Linked DNA regions of Saccharomyces cerevisiae S288C. Each later gene encodes a partner of the first gene's protein in a complex. Each region holds a gene or a part of one and is shown on either strand. Other genes may lie near its edges. A codon is read from its position in the direction of its gene.

Region 1 (6,837 bases):
GCCCCCTGTGCTATACGCCATCACTGCCTATTACGTTATTATTTTTGGTGGCAGGTTTTTGTTAAGTAAGTCGAAACCATTTAAATTAAATGGCCTTTTCCAATTGCATAATTTGGTTTTAACTTCACTTTCATTGACGCTTTTATTGCTTATGGTTGAACAATTAGTGCCAATTATTGTTCAGCACGGGTTATACTTCGCTATCTGTAATATTGGTGCTTGGACTCAACCGCTCGTTACATTATATTACATGAATTACATTGTCAAGTTTATTGAATTTATAGACACCTTTTTCTTGGTGCTAAAACATAAAAAATTGACATTTTTGCATACTTATCACCATGGCGCTACTGCCTTATTATGTTACACCCAATTGATGGGCACCACATCTATTTCTTGGGTCCCTATTTCATTGAACCTTGGTGTTCACGTGGTTATGTATTGGTACTATTTCTTGGCTGCCAGAGGCATCAGGGTCTGGTGGAAGGAATGGGTTACCAGATTTCAAATTATCCAATTTGTTTTGGATATCGGTTTCATATATTTTGCTGTCTACCAAAAAGCAGTTCACTTGTATTTCCCAATTTTGCCACATTGTGGTGACTGTGTGGGTTCAACAACTGCCACCTTTGCAGGTTGTGCCATTATTTCTTCATATTTGGTACTATTTATTTCATTTTACATTAACGTTTATAAACGTAAAGGCACCAAAACCAGTAGAGTGGTAAAGCGTGCCCACGGCGGTGTTGCCGCAAAGGTTAATGAGTATGTTAACGTTGACTTGAAAAACGTTCCTACTCCATCTCCATCACCAAAACCTCAACACAGAAGAAAAAGGTAAGTGTAAAATCTTTGAAAGAATTTAAGTATTCAACTTTCGTATATTCGTTTTTTCTTAGTGGATCTATTGTTACTATTATCACTATTATTATATTGTAAAAGACCGGATGGTTTTGTTATATATTACATACACATGTTATCGTTGAAAAAAGTTTTCCGTTTCCTTTCGACAGTCATCAGATAATTTTATCCGAGTCTTTTATATGTTAAATCTTGTTGACAAATCGTCCGCTCTAACCCTAGATAACAACAATGATCTTTTTATCATTTCTGGCGTTATTTTAGCGCCTCCTCCCACTAATGTTAATTGCTTATAGTTACCTGAAGGAGCAGCGAGGATGGAGATCGTACTGTGTATACTTGTTTCTTCCGCTTCAGTATCTAGGTCTGCTATTAGCACAGTGTTCAATTTATCCATATCAATGTCCACTTCCTCTTCTTCAGAGTTATCAGAGTTTTGTAATTGGCATTCGGGGTCTAACTCCACTATCCCATAATTTGAAGCAAATGCAATATTCTTTGCGTTTATCATTAACGGTACTGACTTAGTTTGGTCGCAAATAATTTCATACGTTTCTCTTATGGTGGCACTTCTTCCTCTTGTTCTTATAGTCATTCTTAAATCGGACGCACGCTCATCTATAAATGCTCTAGGTAACTTTACGCTCTGTAAAGCGTACATCAAAGAATTCCAACACAAATCGAAGACTGGACCAGTGCGACTCAAGACTACAATTTTCGCATACAAAACGTATGACCATTTTCTTTTCATTTTCAGGTTTGTTTCATTCAGCGTATCATCTTCTAATTCATCGGGATACAAGACGGAAAACGTACCGTCTTCATTCGCACTACGAACACCAGCTTTTACCTTCAAGGCTTTTTTAGGCAATATCCTAGAGTGCAATATGGAATCGTGTAGTTTTTGTGATATAGTCATTTCTTCATCGGTGCAAGCGCCCACTCTACCTCTTTCAACTTCCACCACCGGATAGACAGAAGCATAATTTGCAATTATGTCCTCCTCTTTGGTCACTTCGAACAATTCTTCCTCACCGAAATCATCCAAATCTTTAATCGCGGCGCTAGTTTCTTCTATTATTCCACCCGTAATAGAAGTTATGACTATGGTTTTCCCACTTTTCAAAACATTTGAGCCTAAAATGTTGTTTTTAGTGTCTATATTACCAGCATCCGCATAACGCGATAAAGTATTATTTTCTATAGCAACATCTCTAAATTCTTCATATTTTCTTAGACATGGCCTGATTCCTAGGGATAAGTGTCTTTGTAAAGACAATTCTGGAGATATTCTCGCAAGAACTTCAGGTGGAAAAGTAATTGGGTGTATCTCAATAGTTTCTAACGTGGTACTTTCAGCCATTTCCAATATTAGATGCCTGTGAAACTACTGTCAAACTTATTTGTGTAACAATACTCATCGTCTAATTTGTCCATTATTGTTATATACTCTGTCATAAAAAAAGAAAGAAAAATCTTATACTTTCGTCGACTGTGATTTGAAAATCTCTCCAGATCAAACGGGAATAAAAGGGTTTATATCCGAAGGTGGCCAGAACAATCATGAAGCAAATAGGATAAAAATAGCCAATAAGATGTTTGTTGTCTTTCATCCCAAAGTTCCAACAGCATATTTCAAAGATGGGTATTACAGTAATAGGTTCTCTAAACTATGATTTGGACACATTTACGGATAGATTACCTAACGCTGGAGAAACTTTCAGGGCTAACCACTTCGAAACACATGCTGGTGGTAAGGGATTGAACCAAGCTGCGGCCATTGGTAAATTAAAAAACCCCAGCAGCAGATATAGTGTTCGAATGATTGGTAATGTTGGAAATGATACATTTGGTAAACAATTGAAGGACACTTTATCCGATTGCGGAGTCGATATCACTCACGTCGGTACTTACGAAGGCATTAATACGGGTACCGCTACCATACTAATTGAAGAGAAAGCTGGTGGCCAAAATAGGATATTGATTGTAGAAGGTGCTAACAGCAAGACTATTTATGACCCGAAACAGTTGTGTGAAATTTTTCCAGAGGGCAAGGAGGAAGAAGAGTATGTTGTTTTTCAACACGAAATTCCTGATCCTCTTTCCATTATTAAATGGATACATGCGAACAGGCCGAATTTTCAGATCGTATATAACCCCTCACCTTTCAAGGCCATGCCTAAGAAAGATTGGGAGTTGGTAGACCTTTTGGTCGTTAATGAAATTGAGGGTCTTCAAATCGTGGAAAGTGTATTTGATAATGAACTTGTTGAAGAAATAAGGGAGAAGATAAAGGACGACTTTTTAGGAGAATATCGTAAAATTTGTGAGCTTTTGTATGAAAAACTCATGAATCGAAAGAAAAGAGGAATTGTGGTTATGACTTTGGGTTCGAGAGGGGTGCTTTTCTGTTCGCACGAAAGCCCTGAAGTACAATTCCTTCCGGCTATTCAAAATGTTTCGGTTGTTGATACTACAGGAGCTGGAGATACTTTCCTGGGCGGTTTGGTTACTCAATTGTATCAAGGAGAGACCTTGTCTACGGCTATAAAGTTCTCTACATTAGCTAGTTCATTGACCATTCAAAGAAAAGGTGCTGCTGAAAGCATGCCACTGTATAAAGATGTTCAGAAAGATGCATAAAATCTACTGCAATTTTTTACTTTTAGTTTGTTAAATTTTAGTTTTCGTCATATATATAAAGTTTAAAAAGGTACAAAGAATGCAGTAATAAGAAATGTAATTACATGAGGGCAGTTTAAGTGCTACCTTTTAAGACGGAAGAACTAATACCATAACCGAGAGTAATTACGCAGACAAACGCTAACAACGAAGCAGGAACACCTCTGGAGATAAAAGCGCCTACAGTTAGCCATCTATTACCCTTTTTATCGGTCATAGAAATAGCAGTAACGTTTGGAAATCCAGATGAAGCCAACCCCATACCGCATGAGGCTAACAAGGCGCAACCGAACACAAGAATTGGAGCTGCCTTTGGATCGGATAATTTGTCACCAACTTCTTGCACCAAGGGAATAATGATGATTGCTGACACAGTATGTGAGACAAAAGTGCCCACAACTAACATTAAAATACCGAAAATACATAAGATAGCAAAAACACCATCGTTCTGAATTTTCTTTTGTAATGCTCTTGCAATAGTTACCAACAAGCCTGAAGATGAAACTGCCTTACCAAGGGCTATACCACCCATAGCAAGAACAACAATTGACCAAGGGAATGTGTTGAAATCCTTTGTTGATAGTAGACCTGTACCAAAAAACAGGACTATCGGTATTACTGCAATTTCACCGGACGATCCAAAAGCACTTTCTATTTGTGACTCTACACACCATAGAAGAATAGTAGCAATAGTTACAATGATGATAAAATATTGCTTTATAGTAAATCTGGTCCTTATTGGTTTAAATTTTTCCAGTTTAGTTTTGCCTATTTTAAAGGTGAGTATCATCAAGGCCCAGGAGCACAGCATCGATAGAATACCTGTAGGCAGAGCGACAGCAAAAAATTGCCCCCAGCCGATTCCATAAGGTTTTAAGTACTGCATGGAGATGATATTCTGTGGCGAAGAAATAGGTGAAGCCATACCACCAATATCTGCCGAAAGTGCAACACCCATGACTAATGCCTTAGCAAACGGTGAAGTGTAGTCCAGCGGATCTAGTAAGGGTGTTAATAGAGAATATGTCAATACTGGGGAGGCAACGTTGGAAATCCACATCGAAAGAAAGAATACAACACTCATTGCCATTAAAAGGACATTTCTTGGCTTGGTACCTGCAAGGGCCAATAACCACGATGCCAAAACTTTCGCAACGTTATATTGCGACAAGGCTTCACCCAATGTGAAACCTGCTAATAAAATCATAATTGTTGACGACCACATTGTACCTAAGATTTCTGTAGAGGCAGCTGCTGCTCCCATTACCTTACCGTCATCGTCTTTTAGTACCCTAAAAAGGACAGTTAGAAGGGGAACCAATAAACCTGTGATGTGTAATGGAATGGCTTCACTAGCCCATAAGAAAGCACAGCATTCTACCAATGCCATACACCGGTGTTCGACAGGGTCATTGAAAGTTTTAACACCCAACAAAACACCTGTGACAATGATAATGAAGCCTATTTTCATTGCTCTTTTCCCAAAAAATAGCTTAGGAACTGCCAAATTTTCAATTTTAGTAAACTTCAAATTAATTGGCTTAGGCAATGGATACTTGAAATATTCAATTTGAAGCTTTTCTTGCATAAGTTTCTCAGCTTCATCTTCAATAGTTATTATATCGTTATTTTGCGAAGAGAGGCCCAACATGTCTTTCCATGTGTTGCTTCTTTCCCAAACAATGTGGTCGTGCAGGTACGACTTTAACTCTTGCTTGCATGAATCTACGTTCCCAGGCTGACCCATGAGAACAGCATAAAATTCAATAAGTTGTGCAATTTTACTGTTTAAACTGCTTAAAGTTTCATGCTGGAAGATGTAGGTGTCTTTGAAAAATTCTTCACTTTCTATTAATTCTTGCCTAGTGTTCATGTGCAATACTTTATCAGACTTCTTAGTAATTTTACTGAAACCCATTCTGTTCAATTCGATAAAAGATTTCAACTGGCAAAGGTCTATGTAAAGATTTATTATTGTCTGTTTTAATAATGACTTTTTCTGAGATTTAATGTTAAATTGCGAATAATTCAAGAGGGCGGTATTGTCGGTAGTGTCAGCAAACACGTCAACGTCATCATCTTCATCCATTTCTTCTTCGCTGTAATCAAACCTATTTCTCAATTCACTGTCGATGTTTGAAGAGTGTATTTCAAATGGGTTATTAGATGAATGTGTCTCTGATGTACCAGAAATAATTTCTCTTAAAGGAGGCAATGCTTGAATTTCAGGATTGAAAGTTTCATTCAATCTTGTTACAATGCCTTCCTTCTCCAAATCATTAATCAAGTGGTCAAATCTTTCATAGAACTTAGCTTCCATTCTTTTGTAGAAATCATCTACTTTCAATTTCTCGTCGCTCAGGTTAGTTACGAATGTATCATAAGAACTGAAGAGCGTCTTTCCCTCGCTACTCACAGATGAGCTGCGTGATTCAAAGAATTTCTTACGTATAAAATTCTTATTGAAAGAGGTGGTTTTCCCTTGAGGAGATAACTCGTCTAACTCAATTGTTTCCTCGTTAATATTGTTCCCATCTATGGCCTTTTCGTCGGAGTCTCCCCTTTTGCTTCCTGAAGGTGTTTTAGAACCAAAGAGCTTACGCTTGAGTTTATGTGTAAATCTTCTTTTCGATGAAGATGGTTCTCCTGCAGCTATGTTGCTTTCTATATCAGCGATTGGACCTGGAGTCTGAGAGTCAGCGTCATCGTTTAAGTCACCGGTTGGCGTTTCTTGTTTCAATTCATCTGTCTGTAATGTGTAGATCAAATTTTTCAATTCGTTATAATCTAGGTAATGATTCTGCCATTCAGGGACAGCGTTGTATTTGAGAAAGTGTGAGAATCTCATTTCGAGGCACAATAATAGCCGCCTTTACCGTAGTTTTGCTGCACCTTTATCTGAGAGCTGACTGCTTTTTTGGTGTGAAACACTGTTTTCTGGTAATAATTTTTCAATGCATCGGATTACTTTTCCCACGTGCGAAATCATCAATTAATTAGATTGAAAAAAGGGTAAGGGAAAATAAGAAAGAGGCGGTAGCCTAAAGATACGGTAATTGAAACGTTTCCTATGCACAATCTTAAACCTTTTTAGGTAATTGATTAAGTTGACTGTAATATCTGTAAAAGATTACATCTAATTTACGTCTGGTTTCTTATCAAAAAATATTATCTACTGTAGTTATGCAAGTATTCTTAATTTTCAGTACTAAACATGAATATTAATTATTTGTGAGCGTACAAGAAGCAAAAGGAAGTCATCTTTCTTTGAACAGTTCTGTTTTTAGGTAAGCC
Region 2 (4,991 bases), on another chromosome or scaffold:
CCATAGTGGTTGACCACACTGTTTACTTCAAAAAGAGAAACACCAAGAAGACTACAAGGTTGCACAACGAACCCCATTCGCAATTATACATGAAATCGTTGAAAGATCACGAGTCCAGACTAAAGCATTTCAAAGACGGCGGATTCAACATTGCAAAAAGGCATGCGCAACGTGTGGCCTTTGGTGGCCAAGCGGGCGGACAATCGTCTTCCCCCAAGAAAGGCCCATTGTCCATCAAACCGGAGCCTGTTAAGGTAAATCGTCAAATGGATAATGTCACAGCAGAGAAGAAAGATGTTACGCAGCCCATCACGCCGGTGAAGAAGAGAAGATCCGAATCACCGTCAATCTTTCTCAATCGTAAAAAACCTGCGCTATTCAGGCCTACTCCGAAGACAAACGCTGCAGGTTCTCGACCCCATACAACAGCGATCACCAACGATCACCGTACTACTTCTCATCCTTATCCCCACAAAGATGTTGTAACTTCAATATCAAGTGTCACCGCAAATCCCGTAACAAAGGGCCACAAGAAGAAGAAATCCGGAATTTTCGTACGAAATGCCGGATCTGACGGAGATAGTTTTCCGCACGTGACCGCAACCGGCCCTACTACCCGTCCGTATATCTATGAGCCACGGAAATAGCAGTAACCCAACTCCGAAGGCCGTCACATCCCCTGCGATTTCCCACGGGTCCAGTCATTCCGCGGAGAAAGAAAGCAACCGGAAGCAACGGCATCCCTGCTTATAAGCGATTTTCGCGTTGCGCGTCATCTTTTTGTCTTCCGTCTTAGTAATTTTTATGATTTTTTTCATTCCACCCGACTCTATTTGAGTGCAAGCATGCGATATATCTCTCTATATATTGCCAGATCTTTATCGCAATAGGTTCATGCACTATATGCGCATCCCACTCTTGTACATGCACAATATTGTGCTCATTGTCTGAATATATATATATTTATATATATATATGTATGTATATATATCAGTTCTAGATAGACTAATACCACTTCTTCGTTAGAAAAATATTTCAATCCTTATTTTGTTTCTAACTGTTCCCTTCTCTCCATCCAACAAATAATACAAAACCACTTTATATAAAAAAAATTACAAAAGCAAAAAATGTTCAAGAGATTTAGCAAAAAGAAGGAGGCTCCAGAAGACCCAAAAAATTTGATTAATATTGATAAGCCTATCAAAGAACTTCCTGCTTCGATAGCTATTCCAAAAGAAAAACCACTTACAGGTGAGCAACAAAAAATGTATGACGAAGTGCTAAAACATTTCAGTAACCCTGACTTGAAGGTTTATACAAGTGAAAAAAATAAGTCGGAGGATGATCTTAAACCCTTAGAGGAAGAAGAAAAGGCATGGTTGACAAGAGAATGTTTTTTACGTTACCTAAGGGCTACTAAATGGGTGCTAAAAGACTGTATCGATAGAATCACCATGACTCTAGCGTGGAGAAGAGAATTCGGTATTAGTCATTTAGGTGAAGAGCATGGTGATAAAATAACTGCTGACTTGGTGGCCGTCGAGAACGAATCAGGTAAGCAGGTGATTTTGGGTTACGAAAACGATGCTAGACCTATCTTATATTTGAAACCGGGCAGACAAAATACAAAGACTTCTCACAGACAGGTACAGCACTTGGTCTTCATGTTGGAAAGAGTTATCGATTTTATGCCAGCTGGTCAAGACTCTCTAGCTTTGCTAATAGACTTTAAAGATTACCCTGATGTTCCTAAAGTACCTGGCAATAGTAAAATCCCACCTATTGGTGTAGGGAAAGAAGTGCTGCATATTCTACAAACTCATTATCCAGAAAGACTAGGAAAAGCACTTTTGACGAATATTCCTTGGTTAGCATGGACTTTCTTGAAGTTAATTCACCCTTTTATTGACCCACTGACCCGTGAAAAGCTAGTTTTTGATGAACCATTTGTTAAATATGTCCCTAAGAACGAACTAGATTCGTTGTATGGTGGTGATCTGAAATTCAAGTACAATCATGATGTTTATTGGCCAGCTCTGGTGGAAACCGCGCGTGAAAAAAGAGATCATTATTTTAAGAGGTTTCAAAGCTTCGGTGGTATTGTAGGTTTAAGTGAGGTTGATTTAAGAGGTACTCATGAAAAACTTCTTTACCCAGTAAAATCGGAAAGCAGTACCGTGTAAAGGCAAATTTAGATAGATAATGATAATGCACTATAATATATAATAAATAAAAGAGAATAAAAAGTTTAATCACGTTCCCGCTTCTTTTTCCTAACCATCAAAGAATGCAATCTAAAGAAGAAGAAGCGAATACCCTCTTTTAAATATATACGCGTCTATATGCACTGTAGATAAGCTGTTACATATCAAAAAGGTTTGGCACATTTGCGCTTTTCTGTAGCGCCTGTAACCGGTGAAGTCATCATTTGCCAGTCTGTAGCATACATCAATCCACCAGCACCATTAGCAGCTCTGGCGAACACGACCCCAAGGTCATTCCTTGCAGTGGTCAAATAGTAGTTGGTTCCGTCACCTAATGATAAAACTTGCGCCCTAACAATATCTCCCGGCTTGAAACATTCTATCACTTTCACACGATCTCTGTCTGTAGACCGTACATCCTGAGACCTGATTATACCTCTGAATGTCTCACCTAAATCTGATGATGCTTGAGAAACAGAGAACGTAGCTGCTCCAGAACCGCCACCAGCAGCGACTATTCCCGATCCATTACTGCCGATGCCACTATCAATTGGAGATGGTTTATCTTCCACAGCTAAAATTTCGACATTGGCTCGTTGCAACGAAAGCCTTGTCACCCTGGTCAGCACAATATCACCTTCCTTCGGTAGGTTATTGGCAAAATCATTATTAGCATATTTGTTGGTTTTACGACCCTTTTCTGTCCCAGGAAGCACTGAAACCAGAATATTTTTTACAGTTCTTCTTGTGACATCATTAGGTGATGCATCTACTGATTTTTCTTCCTCTGTAGATTGATCAGTGCCTTCACGCTCTTCTTCCTGATCAGTTTTTTTTTCTTCCTCACACCTCACTGTCCCAACTAGTGTAGCAGTTATAGCTTCTAAAGTTCGTCCGTTGTGTTCATATTGAATTAGTTTAGTTCCGGGACCGGGCACATAATTGAAAATTATATCTTCGCCATCTTTATTTTCCGTACCGTACTGTGGGCATATTAGTTTACCTGGATAAGCTATTTCTGGAAACTGAAAATTGCATGCCATTATAATACACTTATAGATTGAGGTATTCAATGCTCTGGAAAAAATCAAAGAATCTTTAATATACAAATGCGTAGTTAATCATGCCGTACCATAAGCTCATCATCAGTGAATTCTGGATCTTATTTTTCTTTCTTTTTTCAATATTTTTTGGAAATTTTTACTTCACGTGACGGAGACGGGTAATGCAGACGGTATTTTGAAATGATGCCGCAAATACAACACATAACACCCAAGATTCTTGCGATAAATTATAGGTTTATAAAAACTAGAATGTCTTGATATGTATGATTTGATTCATTTCCATTTCTCCCAGTTTTCTGCTCTAATAAAAATGTGTGTAACATCGCGAATCATCGTGTACTTCCATTGCGCTCTTTAACTCATTTAATTCCAATTTGATCATTTGAGCCAGTTGTGGAGTAAGCTGGTTACAAGTGGAAATTTCTGGATGTCTATCATATTCGAATTCTCCATAAGTGTCGTAAAGTATTATCTGGGACGAAAACCGGACACCCTGGTCATTATTACTGTTTACATACACCTCACCTAGACTTGTTAAGTCTGATTTTACGGGAGAATCAGGCGTCATGGAGTCAATAAAAGAAGTATTCATTCTTGGGGCTTTTAGTCCTTTAAAGGACATTGAAACAGGTCTATTGGGTTCGAATTCTGGTAAATATGCATTATTTCTTGGAGTAACTTCTATGGGCTGTTCTATGTGTTTGTTGAAATCTTCATTCTCAAATTCGTTGTCATTTATTTCACTTCCGTCTTGTTCAAATGTATGTAATTGACCTTGACGCTCATCTCCGTATGTAGTAGCTCCAGCAGCGGAATAAGATTGAGTTTCTCTTTCTTTGTAACTATCCTCTTTGTTATTTCGTGTATCAAAAGTACCAGAGCGATTTACTTCATCATTTCCAACAGGTTCAGGGGTTTCTGTTGCATATGAGGCCGTTGTATCTCCCAAGTCTAGGTCTAGATTGAGATCATCATCACCGAAGTTAATAAAACTTGCAAACTCCATTATATCAGAAATTAACTCGTTATCATCATCTGCAAAAACGCTTTGCCTTTCAGAATCCTTCTTCAGAGGTTCTTCTCTTGGTTTTGGTACATCCCTTTCAACTTCAGTTTTTTCTTCATCAGAGGCCATCACTAGCTGGTCAAATTTTTGTTCAATAGACTCTAAAAATATGTCATCTTTTTTTAGTGGACCACTATCGTCCTTGATATCTAAAAAGTCCTCATTCGTGGTACCTTCGTAAGAGTGTTCTCTGGAGAAATTATCTGAGTATTCGAACCTTCCATTCTTTAAAATGCTGCTAGCAGGAGACTTCGTCAAGTCTGGAGTAGATAATACAACAGAAGATGCCTCAGTGATGAACATTCCCTCACTTTGCGCTTTGATCGATAGCGTATCTGTCAATGACCTTCTTTGCGAGTTCATTGAACTTCTCTTGTTAGACTTTGTAGATCTTGTTCTTTCTAAAGAAACGATCGAGTCGACTTCATGATTATCCAAAAATTTTGGGAAAAGAACCTCACCTGTATCGTGTTTGGAAAATGCTGGTGAGGGTGCTTCGTAGTCCAGTGATAAAAAATTATCCTTGGTTGGTAATTGAAGATCATTTTTGGCATCATCATCTTCTCTTACGTGTTCTTGTAGCGGGGTATTTATCTGTTTATCACCTCCCAATATGAGATCCATGTTTAAAGGAGTAGGTTTTCTCTGATCAATTGA

What was found.
Region 2: the proteins of RRP43 (region 1) and CSL4 are in contact, whole or in part, in a cryo-EM structure (PDB 5G06), measured with the Saccharomyces cerevisiae proteins. Residues at the interface, in NP_009964.2 of Saccharomyces cerevisiae: Leu7 (codon at 2,206), Ile10 (codon at 2,197), Glu11 (codon at 2,194), Ile12 (codon at 2,191), His13 (codon at 2,188), Pro14 (codon at 2,185), Ile15 (codon at 2,182), Thr16 (codon at 2,179), Phe17 (codon at 2,176), Pro18 (codon at 2,173), Glu20 (codon at 2,167), Val21 (codon at 2,164), Arg24 (codon at 2,155), Ile25 (codon at 2,152), Ser26 (codon at 2,149), Glu28 (codon at 2,143), Leu29 (codon at 2,140), Gln32 (codon at 2,131), Arg33 (codon at 2,128), Arg138 (codon at 1,813), Gly139 (codon at 1,810), Arg140 (codon at 1,807), Arg222 (codon at 1,561), Glu305 (codon at 1,312), Cys306 (codon at 1,309), Leu308 (codon at 1,303), Glu337 (codon at 1,216); in NP_014167.1 of Saccharomyces cerevisiae: Leu140 (codon at 2,830), Leu156 (codon at 2,782), Ala185 (codon at 2,695), Phe188 (codon at 2,686), Ser189 (codon at 2,683), Val190 (codon at 2,680), Ser191 (codon at 2,677), Ala193 (codon at 2,671), Asp196 (codon at 2,662), Leu197 (codon at 2,659), Gly198 (codon at 2,656), Glu199 (codon at 2,653), Ile229 (codon at 2,563), Arg231 (codon at 2,557), Val255 (codon at 2,485), Phe256 (codon at 2,482), Arg258 (codon at 2,476), Gly265 (codon at 2,455), Leu266 (codon at 2,452), Tyr268 (codon at 2,446), Ala269 (codon at 2,443), Thr270 (codon at 2,440), Asp271 (codon at 2,437), Trp272 (codon at 2,434), Pro278 (codon at 2,416), Val279 (codon at 2,413), Ala289 (codon at 2,383), Lys290 (codon at 2,380), Pro291 (codon at 2,377).

The regions. Positions count from the first base shown.
Region 1 is NC_001135.5:190,795-197,631, forward strand, and holds RRP43 (exosome non-catalytic core subunit RRP43), read right to left. Parts: upstream 2,225-6,837; coding exon 1,040-2,224; downstream 1-1,039. Other genes in the region: fatty acid elongase ELO2, read left to right, coding at 1-841; RBK1 (putative ribokinase), read left to right, coding at 2,503-3,504; PHO87 (SPX domain-containing inorganic phosphate transporter), read right to left, coding at 3,620-6,391; Ras family guanine nucleotide exchange factor BUD5, read right to left, coding at 6,827-6,837.
Region 2 is NC_001146.8:213,179-218,169, reverse strand, and holds CSL4 (exosome non-catalytic core subunit CSL4), read right to left. Parts: upstream 3,248-4,991; coding exon 2,369-3,247; downstream 1-2,368. Other genes in the region: ELA1 (elongin A), read left to right, coding at 1-647; PDR16 (phosphatidylinositol transporter), read left to right, coding at 1,128-2,183; BNI4 (Bni4p), read right to left, coding at 3,570-4,991.